Danio rerio: one gene and its partner. The protein of the gene in region 2 interacts with the protein of the main gene of each other region in a pairwise test. Links are inferred from orthologs where the notes say so. Each region holds a gene or a part of one and is shown on either strand. Other genes may lie near its edges.

What was found.
Region 1: the proteins of uba3 (region 2) and impa2 interact in binary tests that used the Homo sapiens proteins (3 or more experiments, as listed by UniProt). The two-hybrid records come from large-scale screens. The link is inferred for Danio rerio from reciprocal best matches to the Homo sapiens genes UBA3 and IMPA2.

Annotation. Positions count from the first base shown.
Region 1 is NC_133199.1:885,990-892,464, reverse strand, and holds the end of impa2 (inositol monophosphatase 2), read right to left. Parts: intron 5,051-6,475; coding exon 4,938-5,050; 3' UTR 1,883-4,937; downstream 1-1,882. UniProt on the Homo sapiens protein: Phosphatase that can use myo-inositol monophosphates, myo-inositol 1,4-diphosphate, scyllo-inositol-1,4-diphosphate, glucose-1-phosphate, beta-glycerophosphate and 2'-AMP as substrates in vitro.
Region 2 is NC_133186.1:19,926,514-19,932,988, forward strand, and holds part of uba3 (NEDD8-activating enzyme E1 catalytic subunit), read right to left. Parts: intron 5,206-6,475; coding exon 5,125-5,205; intron 5,003-5,124; coding exon 4,920-5,002; intron 4,838-4,919; coding exon 4,757-4,837; intron 1,763-4,756; coding exon 1,719-1,762; intron 1,552-1,718; coding exon 1,487-1,551; intron 1,357-1,486; coding exon 1,201-1,356; intron 1,125-1,200; coding exon 1,022-1,124; intron 933-1,021; coding exon 819-932; intron 1-818. UniProt on the Homo sapiens protein: Catalytic subunit of the dimeric UBA3-NAE1 E1 enzyme. E1 activates NEDD8 by first adenylating its C-terminal glycine residue with ATP, thereafter linking this residue to the side chain of the catalytic cysteine, yielding a NEDD8-UBA3 thioester and free AMP.

The DNA of each region.
Region 1 (6,475 bases), on a different chromosome or scaffold from region 2:
ATTTAATGTATCAAATAAATAAATAACAAAATAATATCTTTATCCATCCATCTAATTAAATATATTACATAATCAGATAAGTTTTATCTATCCATCCAAGAGATATTGAAAAAATATTATCTGTAGGCTATATATATGAATATATATATATATATATGAATATGAATATATTTAAACGAATTTAGTTTTTACTTGATATGATTTTTTTAGCACATATACTAATATTGTAAAATATATTTAATAAAAAAAATGTAAATGGAAAAATCATGTTCCCGTGAAATTCTTGTATGTCAATGAACAGTTGTTTCTTGTTAAAAAAAAATAGCATGTTGTCACTTGGCGTCACAACAATTAATAAAACATATTTCATTTGCAACCAAAAAACTAAATTACTTTAAACAAAAAGATACGTAAAAACGAACAATAAAATACATAATTATTTTGTTTATTTTCACTTATTTTTTTCAAAGGCTGTTATTTATACTTTTAATTTTTGTTATAACAAAACTCAAGTAATGTAGTTTTGCATATATTCAAGAGTAACGTTTGAGCAAATATTATAAAAGCGGCTGCAGCGCCACCTGCTGCCCACCTAAATATCTAATAATATTTCACCCTTCAATCTTATCTGTTGGATTAAATGTGATTTTAGTCATTTTACATACTTGGATTTAATGTCTACATGTTTTTCCAAGACGTAAATAAATTAAAGATTGTGTTACCAAAGAAATACTTTAGTTTTAACATGTAATTCAGCTATTTTAAGTTTCTTTGCAATCATTTATGAAATGTAATGGTCATTTCATTTACATTTAGTCATTTAGCAGACGCTTTTATCCAAAGTATTTCGGAGTTAAATGTTATAAGCCTACTCTTGTTTTTCTGCGGGGATTGTTTACATATACAGTAGTTTACATATGAAATGGATTGATTATAATAAAAGTAGTAAAATCTATCCTAAGGATACGACAAGAACAGGTACATTTAATTTAAGGACAACTCTGATGAAAGTTTCCCAGAGATGGGTTGCAGCTGGAAGGGCATCCGCCGCATAAAACATATGTTGGATAGTTGGAGGTTCATTCCACTATGGTAACCCCTGATTAATAAAGGGGCCAAGCCGAAAAGAAAATGACTAAATGAACTCTGATGAAAGGTTTTGACACACTGAAGAAGGTTGCTGACTATATGTATTTGTATGAGCCCTGATGAAGAATAAAGCGAAGGATAGTGCTGTTATGTGCTGTAATCTATTATTTATATTCCTTCTTACCTTATTCTTTTTAATTTCATAGCACCTTGAGCCTAAGAAACATGCATTACACACACACACACACACACACACACACACACACACACACACACACACACACACACACACACACACATCAGAATTATTAGCCCTCTAGTCAAATTTGAATTAATTTTAATTTGAATTATCTCCCAATTTCTGTTTAACAGAGGTGACAGCACGTAATATTAGACTAGATATTCTTCAAGACACTAGTATTCAGCTTAAAGTGACATGTAAAGGCTTCACTAGGGTAATTAGGGTAAAGTTAGGGTAATTAGGCAAGTCATTGTATAACAGTGGTTTGTTCTGGAGACAATCCAACACTAATATTGCTGAAGGGGTGAATAATATTGACCTTAAAATGGCTTTAAAACTATTAAGAACTGCTTTTATTCTAGCCCAAATTAAACAAACAAGACTTTCTCCAGAAGAACAAACATTAGAGGAAACACTGTCATCAACTCCTGAATCTGTTCAACATCATTTGGGAAATAATTAAAATGAAATAAGTTTCACAGGAGGGCAAATAATTTTGCCCTTGACAGTACAGAATATTAAATAAGCTGAATGAGGCCAGTCCAGCGCTGCTTTGAGTGTTTATGCCGCTTTAATATTTCACACCAGAGGATTTCCGCCCTGATACAAACACAGGGATTAAAGAGAGAAGTTCAACACAGCAGGAGAAACTATAAAAACTGGCAGTGAAAACTCTCCTCTCCATGTGTTCCTTACAGTGCGTCAGTCAGTCAGCATTAGAAAAACATAACAGTGTCAAATACAGGTTAAAACTGCAGTCAGTGTGTGTGTGTGTGTGTGTGTGTGTGTGTGTGTGTGTGTGTGTGTGTGTGTGTGTGTGTGTGTGATAACGCCAAGATCATGGATTTATGAGTTATTAGGTGCTTTCGGTTAAACAACTTCTGTGAGAAATGATCAGGATCAACATGTACTGTACATATTAACCAGATGTATACATCACTGCACTGCTCTGTGTGTAATTCAGCATCCTACATCTGCATATATTCATTTCCAATAGATTTAAATTCAATATGTGTTTTATTATATTTAATAGGGGGCGACACATGGCAAACACTGGCCTCACAGCAAGAAGGTCGATAGTTCGAGTCCCGGCTGGGTCAGTCTGTGTTTCTGTGTGGAGTTTGCATGACTGTGGGGGAAACCGGAGCACCTGGAGGAAACCCACACCAACACGGGGAGAACATGCAAACTCCACACAGAAACACCAACTGACCCAGCCAAGCCTCAAACCAGTGACCTTCTTGCTGTGAGGTGATTGTGCTACCCACTGCGCCACCGTGAGACCCTCATTCATCACAGTAAGTCTGAGGGGTAAATATGACATTTCTATCAGTGTTTGATTACAGAACACACAGGTAATACTGGGTTATCTCAGTGTAAAAACAACTTTCCTCACAGAGAAAGTCATTCCTGAGGAATATAATACTGGAATATAATAGAGTGACTCAAACTCTCCTTTCTTTACTGATGTAAAGTGTGTAAATGCATATATTTATTCAGTCTGTTTTAAATTAAATTATTGTACTATATATTATATAATAATAAGCTAACATTTAAAGATTTGTTTACAAAACTATTTGTTAAGTAATATTCTGTCTTTCACTCACCGGCCACTTTATTAGGTACACCTCACTAGTACCGGGTTGGACCCCTTTTGCCTTCAGAACTCCCTTAATCCTTCATGGCAGAGATTTTGCTCCATGTTGTCATGATAGCATCACACAGTTGCTGCAGATTTGTCGGCTGCACATCCATGATGCCAATCCCAACCACATCTCAGAGCTGCTTTATTGGATTGAGCTCTGGTGACTGTGGAGGCCATTTGAGTACAGTGAACTCATCGTCATGTTCAGCAGTCTGAGATGATTGAGCTTTATGACATGCTGCGTTATCCTGCTGGAAGTAGCCATCAGAAGATGGAGACACTGTGCTCATAAAGGGATGGACATGGTCAGCAGCAATACTCAGGTAGGCTGTGGCGTTGATGCTCAATTGGTACTAATGGAGCCAAAGAAAATCTCCCCCACACCATTACACCACCACAACCAGCCTGAACCGCTGATACAAGGCAGGATGATCCATGCTTTCATGTTGTCTGAGTCGAGCATCTGAATGTGTCAGCAGAAATGGAGACTCATCAGAGCAGCAACGTTTCTCCAATCTTCTATTGTCCAGTTTTGGTGAGTCTGTGTGAATTGTAGCCTCAGTTTCCTGTTCTTAGCTGACAGGAGCGGCACCCGGTGTGCTCTTCTGCTGCTGTAGCCCATCCGCCTCAAGGTTGGCCGTGTTGTGTGTTCAGAGATGCTCTTCTGCAGAGCTCGGTTGTATCGAGTGCTTATTTGAGTTACTGTTGCCTTTCTATTAGCTGGAACCAGTCTGGCCATTCTCCTCTGACCTCTGGCCTCATCAACAAGGCATTTGCGCCCACAGATCTGCCGCTCACTGGATATTTCCTCTTTGTCTAAGCATTCTCTGTAAACCCTAGAGATGGTTGTGTGTGAAAATCCCAGTAGATCAGCAGTTTCTGAAATACTCAGAGCAGCCCGTCTGGCAGCAACAACCATGCCACGTTCAGAGTCTCTTAAATCCCCTTTCTTCCTCATTCTGATGCTCACTTTGACCTGCAGCAGATCCTCTTGACCATGTCTACATGCCTAAATGCAGTGAGCTGCTGCCATGTGATTGGCTGATTAGAATTGTTGCTGTTAATGAGCAGTTAGACAGCTGTACCTAATAAAGTGGCCGGTGAGTGTATATCATATAGGAGCGCTGCTGTAGCTCTCTCTACTAAACGAGTGGCTGTAACTGTATGTGCATTGTGAACGTGACATTAGTTCAGAGGTGATTGTTTGCTGTTATTGAGTCTCTCCTCGTCAGTCTTTATAATTATTAAATCACATCTGCAGATTCTGTCTGGCTGTGAATAACCGAGACCATGAGCAGATTCAAGGAGCAGCGGAACATACAGTGAAGTGTGTGTGTGTGTGTGTGTGTGTGTGTGAGAGTTAGTATGAGAGAGGGAGAGACAGAGGGTGTGTGTGTGTGTGTGTGTGTGAAAAAGAAAGTGTGTGTATGTGCGTGTGTGTATAGTCAGTTTCTGTTTGTTTGTTTTTGTGTGTGTCTGTGTAAAAGAGAAATTGTGTATGTGCGTGAGAGAGAGTGTGTATATGTGTGTGCACGTGTGAGTGTATGCGTGCTTCTGTGTGGTTATGAGAGAGCAAGAGAGAGAGTGTGCATGTGTGAAAGAGAAAGTGCATGTATGTATGTATGTGAGAGTGTGTGTGTGTCTGTAAAAAAGTGTGTGTGTGTGTGTATGAGAGAGAGTGTGGGTGTAGGTGTTAGTATGCGAGAGTTTACATGTGTGTGACTACTGTGTGTGTTTATATGCGAGTGAGAAAGTGTGTGTGTATAAGAGAGTGTGTTTGTATACATGTGTGTGTGTGTGTGTGTGTGTGAGAGAGAGGGAGAGAGAGAGAAAGTGTATGTGCAAGTAAGTGTCTGTGTGTGTGTGTGTGGACATTGCAGTAGTGGCGTGGCAGGATTGTGTGTGTGTGTGTGTTCTGAGGTAAAAGGCTCAGGTTGGGGTCGGAGGTCACTCAGAGGTCAGTCAGAGGTCATCTCTGCCGTAGTTTATGGGCTGCAGCTGTTTGACCACATATTCAGCGATCTCACGCGTCCCTGCAGCCACAACACGCCTGGACATCAGGTCTAGCGGACCACCTGAAACACACACACACACACACACTGAGCCACTTCATTCTTCTTCATTTGGTTTTATTTTTATTATTCTATTTTCATCATTTTGTTTATTAGATCATATTTTAAAAACATTTTTTCATGTATATTTTGTTTGAGTTTTTTTGAAAATAAAAGGCTCTAAACCACAGGAATATATCTTCCTTGTATTAGAAACGTCATCAGTAGTTTACAGAACAAAACAAAACTTTAATTTTACTTAAACTATAATCTATAAGCCAGAGAATCTGATTTATCTCAAGTGTTTCCTTTCTTTCCCCACAGCAGAATATACCGTATATTAGAACCAGCAGGAAACACTGAGCTGTATTAACACTGTCTACAGTAGACACGTCCTCTATTTATATAATAATATCTGATGATATGTGAACTATTATCAACACCTTCATGTGTGATATTCAGAGTTAAACAGTAATGAGTGCACTGCGCCGCTGTAAAGCTCTTTGTGTTTCAATCTGACATAATGAATCAGAAATCATGTTCAACAGAGAGCACAGACTGATTTCATCTGATTAAATCTGTGGGTTTATAAAAGGAGAAACGACTATATGTAGAGGATTACTATTTATAGCCACTTTGAAATACTTCGTACAAAAAAAGTGTTCCTTTAAAGGTGCTGGGTGTAAGATTCTGACTGTTCTGCATCATATAAACACCATAACGTGTGCAGATATTTCAGAGACTGTCGCTTTAAATGCAAACGAGATGGTGCTCTTTTCAGAAGAGGGCGGAGTTACAGACACCTGTGAATCTGCATAGTGGCAGATACATAAACAGGACTAATGTACTATGCTAATGAGAGGGCCATTAGTGGGCGGGGCTTAGTTAACCCCTCTGATGACACGTACAACAGGAGAATGTCAATCAAAGTGTTTCTGCAGACTGTTTTCATCAAGTCTGATTAGAACAAACACAATTAATACATGTTGACCATTAGAGGCTGGAGATATTCACACACTGCTGACACACAACTGGGTTTAAACTGCTTATAAAGTGATTTATGCATATCAGGTGCCCTTTAAAGTGACTTATTTCAGCGACCGCAATAGAATCTTGAAGGGGGCGGGGCTTATTAAACACTAGAGAGCATTTGATTGGTCAGAAGAGGTGATGAGAGACTAAAGTATGAGGTGACGCCACTTAATTTTGCTGAAAGAGACACAAACCTAGAGTTGATTGTTTATAACATCTAAATATATGTATGTTTTGTCACCGTTTTGGAGCGCACTAGATTGTAGATATCCTTAAGACTTATAAACATATTGAAGCTTACACCTAAAATCTTTAGTTTGATTTCACAGTGACTTTAAACGCACCCGAAAAATGAAACTTCTGTCATTAATTACTCACACCTCACTTGTTTCAAAGCTTTACTGATGCTGTTAAACA
Region 2 (6,475 bases):
TCCCCTTCACACTCGGTTTTAAAGGCCAAGGGGAAGGGGTACAAAAATAGAACTGTGATAGGACCTAAATGTCCCTCGAAAACCCTGATAAATGAACTAAAGTGTCCTCCACCCACTAGTTATATTTTAACTTTATGTATAATGTCTATGTGAATTATAGTGGCCAATCACACAGAATGCATTTTTTGCGCTGAGGGTTGAATCTTTAGAATAGTTTATTAACGGTCATGAGCGTTTTGCACACTGCTAATGCGCCCTGTGCGCCTTGCATTTTTGCCGTTAGGTGCTGTGCACTTGCAGTTGAAAAAGTCAACTCCGAGGGAAAAAAAGTGTGCTACATCACTCGCGTCTTTTTCATTCTACAATTAAATAAAAGCAGAGGCAGGGTTTCTGTTGAGGTGACAGCAGTGTTTGTGTTGTCAAGATGACTACGGAAACTTTTGGAGAAAGAGGAAAGACTAGCTGTTGCTGTTTTGAGTTATCCGGAGCTGTATGACTTAACAAATATTATATATACAAATAAAATGTATTATTTAATATTAAAATGATACCAATATCACAGCAACACTCTCGCACAATACACAGCTGATTCAGTTGTTGCCTAGCAAAAAGCGCTTCTTTTTTCTCGTCAACAAAGAAGAAAATATGGTGCGCCTCGTGTTTTAGCACGGAAAAACATGTTCATTGTGATCAGCCCCTAAGACCTGTATCAAAATCGTTCATTATGAATATGTGCACAATTACAGCCCTAAAGTCAATAAAAGAGATGCTTTTAAAAATCCCTGATGAAGATCCATTGAACAGGGCATCTCACTCACCCTGGGTGAGTCTGTAAGTGACCCCAGTGATGTTGAACTCAGCCGCTCTCTCCAAAGATTTCTGATACACCCACTGGATGTGCTTTGGGTCATCTCCATCTAGAACCACACCATCTGAAGAACAAAAAAGCCATATCTGAAATACAGTAGATTACCTGCTAGCAATACAACCAAAAATTCCAATCAATCAGCTCATATTGTACCTCCAAAGGGCTTTTCTTTGGGCCACAGCAGCATGCGTACATATTCAACACAATGTTCGGGTAACCGTGGCATAGACGCTATAGTGCACATCGGGAAGTTGATCTGTGTAGGGCGCAGAAATGAGCATGACAAAAAAGCTTTGAAACTTCAACTTAACACAAAAAATCCCAAAATGCACCTGTGGGGGGTAGAGCTCCAGAGTGCAATCAATGCAGGCTGTCATTCCTGGAAGAATGACCCGGGCATTGCCCTTGAAGCCCTCTGTGCCACCATCTATTAGTGGAATAATAGAGCTGGGGTCCAGGACTCCATCTTCATAAATCAGCAGGGAGAGCTGACAAAGGTAAATGCATAGACTATATGTACTTCTCAATGAATAGAAACACTCTACTTAATTAATGAATGAATGGATTTTAGATCTAAACATATCTATTAATAGATTCTTGGATGTTTATGAGACATACAAGCATGCCGTTCATCCATCTTCTGGCGATAACAGAGTCCAGGCCACAGACGACTATGTGGAATTCTATGCAAAAACAGTTAAATTACAAAGATTTAAGAATATAATACTGCCTAAAAAGCATCATACTATTAATAACAATAACAGAACAATAGTATCATATATTTATGATTTTAGGACATTATTTCTGTACACAAAAATAATGAAAACAAAATGTGTAACAGTTAGATTACGCCTGTAAAATGTCTCATCCAAGTCCTGGATTTTCTTAAAATGTCTGCATTATGTATTAAGGGAAATGACAATATTTTGACAGTACAAATCTGTGTAAAACAGTATAAATACAACAGTATAAATCAGTATAAAAACTACAAGTTCAGAAGTTTGGGCTCAGTAAGATTTTTTAAATTTCACTTCTGTTGCATTTATTTGATGAACAATAGCGTAAATCAGTATTATTGCCAAGTATTATTCCAATTTATACTAAATATTTTAGAATTAAAAAAAAGCATACTTTCACACTATTGAAAAAGCAGATTAATTAGCATCATTACTACACGCTTCAGTTTTACATTTGTGTTACATCTTTTATATTGTATATATGCTGCTTGTTACTTAAGATGCTTGTTAATATCAGTTGAAAAGAGTGAATTATATTTTATTAGTGTTGATCAAACATTAACTAATTTAAAATAACGGTACTGTTTTGACATAATATTTGTGTGTATTGTAAATATTTATTTATTATGTATATGTAATACGCACATGCATGCATGCATGGATATATTTGATAAAATATTTATATTTAGATATAAATTTTATATGTTAACTACCGGTCAATATATATATATATATATATATATATATATATATATATATATATATATATATATATATATATATATATATATATATATATATATATATATATATATATTTTTTTTTTTTTTTTTTTTTTTTTCATGTTTTTAATTTTTTTAAGAAAATGATTATGTTCATCAAGGCGGCATTTATTTAATGTAAATAAAAAAAGTTAAATTGTTAAACATTTATTAACATTTTAAATAACTGCTTTCTTATTGTATGTAGTTTCAAATGAAATTATTATTTCATTCATTATTTTTTTATTACAATTACCATTAATAATAATAATAATAACAACAACAACATTAATTAATTAATCTTAGAGTGATTTCTGAAGGATTATGTGACTGAAGACTAGAGTAATGAAGCTGAAATCTTATCTTTAAAATCACTGGAATAAATGATTAAATGATAAACTACTTTTGAACAGTAGTGCAATAACATTTTACAATTTGTATTGTATTTCTGATTAAATAAATGAATCATTGGTGAGCAAGATAGGCTTATTTTAAAACATTTAAAAAATGTACTGACCCCAAACTTTCGACCGGTAGTGTATATAGCACAAATTATATATAAATTTAAATATGTAATAAAAAAAAAATGTTTGTATTGTTTTGATTTTATGTATGTGTATATCATATATACACAGGGCTTGACTTTAACTTTTTTTGATCACCAGCCATTGTGGCTAGTAGTTTTCCACCGTTACTAGCCACTCGCCATTTTCACTAGCCACAATTTCAATTTTGCTGATGGGAAAATATATTTTATATGCATAAATTTGACTTTGGCATGGGTTGCGGCATGCTAAAATTACTTCTTGTTCATTTAACTGTTTTTTTGTTTATGAGCTTACTCAATGAGCATTAGCAAATGGGTTATTTAGTTATTATGGATTATGGGTTATTACTTTCATAAAAAGTTGCGCATTGCAATTAGTTTTCTTTCACAGGACTTTTCAGGGCTCAACACAATAATGGTTTGCCTTTTTTTTCGACTGGCCACTCCAAACTAATTATTTCCTTGCCACAAATTTTAAATAATGTGTCAAAACAAGCAAAATACTGCTGGATCCATACACTTTTTGTTTAACAAAACAGCTGACATTTAAAATATATATATTTATTTACATTCATTCATTCATTCATTCATTTTCTTGTCAGCTTAATCCCTTTATTAATCCAGGGTCACCACAGCTGAATGAACCGCCAACTTATCCAGCAAGTTTTTTTTACGCAGCAGATGCCCTTCCAGCCGCAACCCATCTCTGGGAAACATCCACACACACACTCATACATTACGGACAATTTAGCCTACCCAATTCACCTGTACCGCATGTCTTTGGACTGTGGGGGAAACCGGAGCACACGGAAGAAACCCACGCGAAATATATATATATATATATATATATATATATATATATATATATATATATATATATATATATATATATATATATATATATATATATATATATATATATTTATATATATACACTCACGCATTTAAAACTATGCACAGTGGTCTGTTCTGGCTCAAAATCCCAGATCACCAGTTAACTGTGCATACAACAACATATTTAAGCAATATTATTGTAAAGGATGATTATTAAACTATATTAACAAAAATAACAGCAAGCAAAAGAAACATCAAATCAAATCATCTGTGCGCGCGACACGAGCCCTCGTCAGTGAGTGAGGAAAGCCTGTCTCACTGTGTACGTGATCCTCTAATTCGTTATTTATCTGCTTTCCTTTGCTCGCGCGAAAAACTGTTTTTGTCAGTCGTGCTGCTTCTGGATTCTAAGATCACATTTGTACGCATATAGACAAACGGTCATAAACTAACAGTCTAACCTAGTGACGACGAGCCAGCACTGGCAATTTAAAAAGGAGTTTCAGCCAGCCAAAGTGGCTGGTGAGAGTGGCTGTCTAACTCACCACAACCGAAATCTACCCGCATTTGGCGGGTTGGCAGGTGTTAATGTAAAGCCCTGTATATACATAATAAATATATATAATACACTGACATATATTACGCCTAAACAATATTTTTAATGTGTTTTATTTTTAATGTGATTAATCTTTGCCCAGCACTGTATTTTTTATGTTTTATTATTATTATTTTAGGATGAATAGAAATCCCAGAAAAAAGCATACCTTTAATAAAAGAAACTGTTTGTAAAATTATACACATATTTAATAGATTTATTGATTATTAAATGCATCCTTTATTGCAAAAAATATTGGAAGTTTCTTGCAAATAAAATATAATCATCTTACTGCCCTCTAACTTTTTGAACACAGAAAAAAAGTACAGTGGCATTTCAAACTTCCCACAAACAAAATCAAAATTAAATTTTGAAACAAAAGACAAAACTAAGTTAATACACTTTAAAGGATACGGGACAACACTGCATCCTGGGACCCTGTCGTTTACGAAGTCTGCTGCAACCTCTGCCTTTGGTCGGCCCACATCTTTTGGCCTAGAGAAACAAGAGCAGGCTGTTTAGATGATTAAAATCAGAACGACAAAGGGTTCAAAAAGACAGCTGTCCGCAGACTAACCTGAAGAGGAACTGTCTGTTGAGGTTAGAAACGTCAATGGTGTCCATGTCCACTACATGAATATGTCGAAAACCTGACAAAGCCTGATTGATGACATTGTAGCGATATAAAAAAAAAAAAACACATTTAGCCTCTTTGAGGATCGATTGTGTCAAATATATTGCATTGTTATTCCAGCACAAGATCAAACAGGAAACAACATTACCAGATCTTTGAGCAGCTCACATCCAAGTCCACCGGCTCCAATAACCAGAATCTTGCATGTGTCCAATAAAAACTGGAGAGACTGGAAGATGATGTGCGCAATTTATAAAGAAAAAGGAGAGAAAGAGAGCAGAGCAATATTAAGATTACCACAAATGGACTGATATTGTGATAATGACATTGTTCTCAAACTATGAAATATCTTTTAGATTTTTTGTCTTATTTTAATGTTAGTTGTGCTTTATATGAAATCATTCATCTGAAGAATGTAATTTATGCATTTTATTCTCCACCATAATATCATAATAGTAATTTAACCACTGTGAAAACATATCTTGCGAATGCAAAACATACACTGCATTGATAAGGCAGTTATTATGAACCTATAATAGGGCTGTGCGATTTGGGGAAAATATCTAATTGCGTTTTTTTGAACAGATATTGTGATTTCGATTTGATTTGCGATTTAATTTTGTAGTCAAGCTTCAGCTCAACAATCTGTATTGTAGCTTCTATCTGCTAAAATGCAGCGAGTGGAACTGAAAAGATATCACCTTACATTAGCAAACAACTCTAAAATTGAAATTTTCTAGTAACTAGATTGAGTGTCACTGGCAATATAATTAGTTAACTTTTTAGCAAAACACTCCTCATATAGGCGCCTGTTGGGCTTTTTTAGGTGCTGAATGTTGTATTTCTTCATGCTGTGGCAACAGTTCTGTGACAGCTCTTTTACAAATGACCTGATGTAGTTAGGTGTATGTGACTTTAAAACCAAAATATTCCCATATTACCGACCTGCTGTTTTTTTAAAGTTTTTTTTTTATATTAGTCTATTGATGCTTCTGAAGCAGCAGATGTCATCATCCCACTTGTTCGCGCTTCCCTGTTTGTTTGTTTTTTTTTATTGCGAGCGTTCTGAGTTTTTCGGAAAAATAAAAATACAAATTTTCTCGTTAACTCACAGTTCATTAAGGAATGTTAACAAGCTTAACTTTGAATTTTACATTTTATCTGTAAATAATAAGTTAATATAAATAAATGCTGTAAAAATTCTAAAATGCTGTAGCAACATTTGTGTATTTCAGAGAAATAACTGAAGGTTTTTACTTTTTTTTTTTTGCATTATGGAGCTTTTTATGATTATAATTCAACCACTGAAGACAAATGAAATATTTTAACAATGCTTTTGATTCATTTTTTGGACATTTTGTGACTGACTATAGAGGATAAAAGAGCTCTCAGATTTCATTTAAAATATATCAATTTGTGTTCTAAAACAAAAATACTATTAAAAATATTAAATCTGAAGATTTCTTTCAATCTTTGTTTAGGTGAATCTCTATTAAAAT